Linked DNA regions of Ovis aries. The protein of the gene in region 1 purifies or fractionates together with the protein of each later gene. This does not show direct contact. Links are inferred from orthologs where the notes say so. Each region holds a gene or a part of one and is shown on either strand. Other genes may lie near its edges.

Region 1 (3,652 bases):
TCCAGGGCATCTTCGCAACCCAGGGATTGAACCCAGGTCTCCTTCTGCACTGCAGGCAGATTCTTTACCACTAAGCCACCAGGGAAGCCCGCCAGTTTCCTTTGTCCATGGGATTCTCCAGGCAAGAGTCCTGGAGTGGGTAGACATTAAATACACCCGCAATATCGTCTGTTGCATCTATTTCTAAAACTTATTTATCACCTGAAACAAATTTGCCACTAAACAATAACACTATATCCACCTCTGTCTGATTTTCTGATAATCTCTTTCTGTCTATGAATTTGCCCATTTTAGATAAATCATACAATAGGAGTACGCATTACAAAGTAACTTCGGTGTTCTTGGGTATGTAGGAATCAGATATTCCCTGAAAGAGATTTTTCAGCTGTCAGGTGGATTCTTTTGAATGAAAAATCAATATTAATTCATCTAAAAACTTTCTAGATGGCTAGTTGAGTGAGTCCAAGCAGGTAATGTATCTTAACTGAAGAAGCTATGGCTGTTCAGGGATAGTATTGGTTGACTCTTTGATTGCCATTCTCTAGTCTAGCCGTTGAACGCACAGCTTCAACCTAAGTCCTTTCCGTGCTTCTGCTTTAATGTGAAGTATGCCATTTGTGCTCTTTCTACCCATTAAGATTGTTCAAGTATGACTTCCTAATTTGCTTACCCTCTTGGGTCCCTGAAGTACTTTTCTAGGTTGGCACTTCATTTTTATGTTATAGTAGCTATTTATGTCACTCCCTCTATTTTAGGTGTTTTTAAAAAGTTCATTGTGGACTCATATGTCTCTTTGCTCTTTTTCCTACCTGTTCCCAGCATCACTTGATGTACATAGTACACAGTACTCAAAAAGTAAAGGTGAATTTTGTTTCTTAACTGTAGTAAATGGCTTATATGATCTCATTTTTGTGGGGTTTTTTTCTTTCTTGCTGTGTTAACCTTAAATTTTATTGGATTAAATAGTGAGATACTGTCCCAGAATTTTTTCTTTTTGCATTAAAACTGTATTAAATAAAGTTAAAGTGACTAGAATTTGGAAATACCTTTCACATGCATATATTTTGATGGTGGCTTGGATGGGATTGGGTCTGCTTGTCAGAAGCATAGTAATAAGTGGAACTCCAACAAGTTTCACTAGTTGCACAGTTGCTGGATTACAAAATTTAAAAAGGAGTTTCATTAGTAACACCTGTTTTCAGTGCCTAAAGCATTGCAGTGCCAAGCATTCAGTGTCTAATAGTGTCTAGTAGTGATAACTAAAGAAATGACTGAGATTTAACTATGTCATTTCTAGAATCTGTTTTTGGACTTGTTTAGTTTATTTCAGACTTTTTTTTCATGATACATTATGTGAATTCTTGTAGGTTGGCAAAAGCAGCTTTTGATGATGCAATTGCAGAACTGGACACGCTGAGTGAAGAAAGCTATAAGGACTCTACACTTATCATGCAGTTGTTACGTGATAATCTGACACTATGGACTTCAGACATGCAGGGTGATGGTAAGGAGACTGAAGTTAAAATGTGTCTCTTTCAGTTGTTGGATCTATTTACTCATAGAAAATTGGGATTTCTTTACATTATGCTATAACTTAGACTCAGCCTACCCTCCAAACTATCAAATTTTAATTATTACCTTTACAGGAAATGGTATCAAAGTACAGCCTTACATTTTGGTCTGTAAGATAATAATGTAAAAGGCCTGTTTTGTTAATAATCAAAGATTTAAAGATTTACCTGTCATAACATGGGCTAAACTTAGTTTTCTGTTCTGTCAGTTTTGAAAGATGGAGAGGAAGCAGTTCATATTACCATTCCTCAGATTCAATTTTAGGGATCTAAGGTTAATTATATTTTACTGTTGTTGTCACTGTTTTGGCTGAGTGGCAATCCTCATTTTAAAACTTAGATGGTTATAAGTAGATATTTATGGTATCTTTTCTGTGTGAAAATCTTTTATCTAAAAAAAGACTAATTTCCCTCTGTATTCTGTACAACAGATGAAACACCCTGCTCATATAGATCCTTATTTAAGAGATCTGATATAGTCTCTTTGTTTTCTAGAAGTTGCAGTTGTAAATAGTTACTAGAGCATTTTATAAAATTTAATCTTGTGGTTAGGAGTAGGGTAGGTGCTTAATGATTATTCCAGATATCTGTAAGGGACCAAATTTGTCACATTTCTTGATTTTAAAGAATATTTTATTCTACTCATTTCTAAAGAATTGTTTTTACCCATGATAGATCATTGAAAGGGTGGGGGAACTGCACGGGGAGATGGACACAAACTAGTGTGACATGATAATTATAAGAGTGTTTGTAACTGGCTCTGGTGATACAGGGAGTGGAAACAACATTTGCCATTTTTAGTTACAGATCCTTTAAAAGTGTATTACCCAAACTGAAGCATGTTTTGTATTCCTTGAGGCTAGATGTAATTTCTCTTGGTCAGACCAACATATATTGTATTTGGAAACATAACTTTTTAAAGATGTCTCTGAAAATGGATGTCAGGGAAATGTAGATTGGCACTGAAAGGACAGTCAGATTTTAGAATTATCTTATCTTACGGTCAGTGAGAGTTAGGGGGGACTGCTGCATGCAGTAGCTCTGTGAACCATTTAGAACTTGACTAGCTTTGGATTGAGATTTGTGGTGCATGTGACTTACTTGCGCACTTCACCAACAAAGCCAGATGGAGTCACAGGTTACTTTTCGTCAGCACAGCACTGCAGGCAACCACTATCTGTGGGACTCAAAACCAACTAAACCATCTCTGAACTAATGACTGGGGTTCCTTCCAGCTTTAAATTCTATTGTATTCTAACAATAACTACTAAGAAGAATGGCCAGATAGCTGTGGACTCTTCATAGTCACCCCCAGCTCAGAGAAGACTAATATCTCTCTGCCTGTTTGAGGGGATAAAAGGAAAAAGCATGTGGAGAGTTTGGTAAGCGGTATTGACCTAAAGTAAGCTATACCTCTTTGATCTCTCGGGATATTTTTTGAGGGTGAAAAATACCACCAACAACAAAGGTGATTTTGAAAAGTGGGTGGTTTTTTTGGACACATTATTTGGTACAGATGTCACCTTCTATAAAGTTGCTAGATTCCAAAAATAAAAAAAAATAGTCTGATTTTCTGTTACCACTCATAACCAAGAATCGATTAAGGTAGATTGTGATTCCATTTATACAGAATCAAAGATACTCTTTTTCTTGGTTATCAAGCATGTTTTATTAAATGGATTATTTAAAAATAAAATATCTTTAAATTTACTATGTTTTCATAGTTGGGAATGTTCTTTGTACAAAATGTTTAATTACACTTTAGGGTAGATTTCTCTTTAATCTTAAACACTTAAACTAGTGAAATTCAGTTGCATCAATTCCTTATGGTTTCATAGATTGACCAATTAATTAAATTTCATTGAGACAGATAATTTTCCTTTTAAGAGGTGTGTTACAAAATATTTGGAATTAGGAAACATAGTTTATCTTGAAAAATTCAAGTGGTCTGTTGAAATCTTAGCAAAATAAACAAGCTGTCTGAAATTACAAATTGTTGACACTAGAAAATTATTTGCCAGTTTTGCTAAAAGGTGTAAGGTATTACATGTTAAGTTGGTTTTGTGATTTAGAATCAATGC
Region 2 (3,652 bases), on another chromosome or scaffold:
CACCTTGCTAAAGAAAAGTGGGAAGAAGACAGACAGCAGCAGAATTATTTGGGCAGCATCCAACTCTTTCTTTGACACGGGCTGGAGTGATACTCAAAACACACAAACCCCCGAACTTCACCAGTTTGTTTCTAGCTCAGTTTAAAAGCCCTGTGTCCAGTTATAGCAACCACCGTAATTTGTGTACAATAACGATACAACCATTATCTGAATCACTGGACTGAGAAGCAGCCTGCAAATTATACAACTATCGTGAATGAGAACATGTTCCCATTTTCCTCTGTGGCAAAAGGCATTCTGCTTTGCATACTGACGCTTCTCAGCTTCATTTTTCACTGCGTTAAAGGTAAGGTTTCCAGTTTGAATCCTTCCTCACATAAAACTCATTTACAACAAGCTTGAATTTCTTATTTTATTAAAACTCATTATCTTATTTATCTCAGAAAATAAACGCACATCAACCTACTTTCTAACCTACCATTTATTTATAAATGAGATTTTTAAAGTAAGAGGATGGAAAACTTGTTGGTGGTGTGGAAAGAAACCTACATATTTGGTGTTAGAGTGTTATGAATAAGAATAATTCAGAGTTGTAATTTTAGATCCTAAAACTTTTCTAGGGACTTCCCCACTGGTCCAGTGGCTAAGACTCTGTGCTCCCAATGGAGGGGTCCTGGGTTCAATCCCTGGTCAGGGAACTAAGAGCCTACATGCTATAATTAAGACCCAGTGCAAGCAAATAAAATAAAGATATTAAAAAACAAATCTTCTAGCCTATCAACTGCAACAAACAATGACAGAATGCTGTTCAGATTTTTTAAAGAGACAGCACTTCAGCATTTTATTTTTTCTGAATATTATCTAATTATAGGGTTGTGATAAGAGAATTTACAGGGAACACTGCTGCACCAAGGACTGAATAAGTTAAAACATTCTATAATAATAATCTAAAGGAAACTGAAAAAATAGAGATGGAGGTGCAATTGAGGCTATCCCCAAAGATGCCGTTTTTCTCTAATTGAGCACATGGTATTTTTTGTTTACATTAAAAACACCACACGTATGAGCCCACACACTCTGGAGCCTATGCTCTATAACAAGAGCAGCTCTGAGTGCCACAATCAGACAAGAGTCCATGCACCGCAGTGAAGACCCAGCACAGCCAAAAAATAAACAAAACAAATACCATATGTAATATAAAGCTAGGGGTAAACTATACTGGCAGAATGGAAAGGACCACACATCTCAGGGTCTCATTCTGTCAAGGTACCCTTTGGTGAAGAGACAAGTTCCAGATCTAATGGAAAAATTATACACTTTGATGTTTTGGAATTTTATGTCGCCTGAAACTCTCCTTACCAGTGCCATTTGTATAGAGAGAAATCACTAACGATTTTATGTACAATTTATACCTTGTTGAGGAAGCTCTTCAGAACACTTGCAGCTTTTACAGATAAAGAACGCGGTATGCGAATTTGTTTTTCCAAAATAACTAGGAAGATAAAATATACAGCATTATTATAATTAACTTTTACAGGGGTTTCATCTTTATATTTTTATTATAAGATATTTAAGGCATTCCTGCAGGAAAAAATAGACATTACAAACACTATCTAAGCATCTTGTGTACCTTTCCAGTCCCAGACCTTTCCTTCCTACTCAGACAGCCTCTACTCTGAACAGTTTTGATCACTACATGCGTAGGTTTTATTCTTTGACTACCTTACTGTGTCTGTTGCCTTATCTGTAAAACTGGAATAAAAAGAATACCTGATTCATAGGGGTGTTGCTGTTGTTTTCTATTCAGTTGCTAAGTCGTGTCCGACTCTTTTGAATCCCCATAGACTGCAGCCAGGCTCCTCTGTCCATGGGATTATTCAGGCAAGAATACTGGAGTGGGTTGCCATGCCCTCCTCCAGGGGGTCTTCCTGACCCAGGGATGGAACCTGCATCTCCTGCATCGGCAGGCAGATTCTTTACCACTGAGCCACCAAGGAAGCCCTCATAGGAGGGTTATAAGGCTTAAACAGATTAGTATCTGTAAAATGTGTGGCATGCATTACTATATTCAATTGTATTAGACTTTGCCAAATTATTTTCCAAAGTTGTCATGTCAGTTTTCACTCCATCCACCAGAGTTCCAGTTGCTTCATATCCTCACCAGCACTGTTATTAACCCTTACTAGTACTGGTGTTGTCAGACTTTAAAATTTTTGCCAAATGTGTAAGTATGAGATGGAAGCCCATTAATTTTTAATGTGCACACCCCTAATTAAGGAGGTTTAAAGTCTTTCGAGGTTTTCACAGCAAGCTAGATTTCCTATTACATGAAATATCTATTCATTTTCTGTGATGGCCTTAGTCATTAAATGTAGAATTTTATGGCAATTTTTACACTTCTCTGGACGGTGTGTTTGGGGTCCTTGTGCTTGTCTGCTTGTTTCTGTTCTGTTCAGTTCTTTGTATTTCCTTCACCTTTTGACCCTTTTTATCTCCTTAAACTCTGCCTTTTCCTATTACTGCTCTTGGATTTATGCACTCAGCATTGTAGCACAGGTGAAACGACTGCCCTCTCCAGCCACACAGTTCCTTCCTCCAATCTCTGTGATGTACAATCTGAAGTCACCTCGTTGCTGTTTCTGAGTATGAGCAGGCAACTGGCAAATGGGACCAAAAACTAAGCAGTAGTAATGATAGATCAAAACAACAAAAACAAACTCAGAGCCTCATGTGTTCAGGGGTATACTGTCCAGATTATTCTTCCTCTTTCTTACTAGAAAGTAATAACTATAGCTGTCTTCATTCATGCCTTAGGATGGGTTATTCACAGAGACTCTGTAAAATACTGCAAATTACCTTGAAAAAGATAATCCTCTGTGTTTTGATCAGGGTTATCGGAGCTCCCAACAATATCAAATGGAGACCTTCCTGCCATCATCTCAAACATTAGTACTCCAAGAGCCCACCAGTCGACACTGAAACCTTCAAAATGAAATTTTAAAGCAATAAATTATCCATTCCACATTCTAAAATGTCAGTAATTTGAGATTAATTTTATTACATAATTAAAAAAATAGACATAATGAAAAAGTAAACTTGAAATACATTATAATGATCATGGCAGGCATCGAGGATTACAAGAACATTTCACTTATCAAAGAAGGGAGGTAACTAAACGATAACTTTAAAATATAGAAAATGAAACACAAGTTTCTCTTCCCGTTGGTTACACTAAGCTGCAGAGACTAATATGTCTATGCCAAGTTATACAATTATCCTGCACAGTTTGTCCCACCAAATATGTTTGTAATTATAGACTCAACAGCCTGCCTCTAATACTTTGTTTTGAGGACATAATTAAATTGTATTTGAAATAACCTTGCTAGATGTGAAACTTGATCTTCTGCTACCTGATTAAAGATCCTGAAAGGACTTTGGAACCAGATTATAAGCAGCTATCAGAAATAGCCATCCTCCCTTACAACTGCTGAAATCAAAGGGCCAGAACCCAAAGGGGCAAATGTTTTTTTAAGATAAACACAACTTCTGGTTTTTGAAAGCAGGGAATCTTTCCTCCATCTTTCAGATTCCTGGGGGAAATACCCCAGGAAATCTGAACAATCTTACAGAAGTTTATGATTCTGAAATTACC

The links. Proteins that work in one complex are often made in the same cells at the same time.
Region 2: the proteins of YWHAE (region 1) and PRKCI purify together in Homo sapiens (affinity purification with mass spectrometry; 4 studies listed by BioGRID and IntAct, with this or other methods). This does not show direct contact. The link is inferred for Ovis aries from reciprocal best matches to the Homo sapiens genes YWHAE and PRKCI.

What each region holds. Positions count from the first base shown.
Region 1 is NC_056064.1:22,410,833-22,414,484, reverse strand, and holds part of YWHAE (14-3-3 protein epsilon), read left to right. Parts: intron 1-1,367; coding exon 1,368-1,593; 3' UTR 1,594-3,652. UniProt on the Homo sapiens protein: Adapter protein implicated in the regulation of a large spectrum of both general and specialized signaling pathways. Binds to a large number of partners, usually by recognition of a phosphoserine or phosphothreonine motif.
Region 2 is NC_056054.1:217,782,964-217,786,615, forward strand, and holds part of PRKCI (protein kinase C iota type), read right to left. Parts: intron 2,983-3,652; coding exon 2,857-2,982; intron 1,493-2,856; coding exon 1,413-1,492; intron 1-1,412.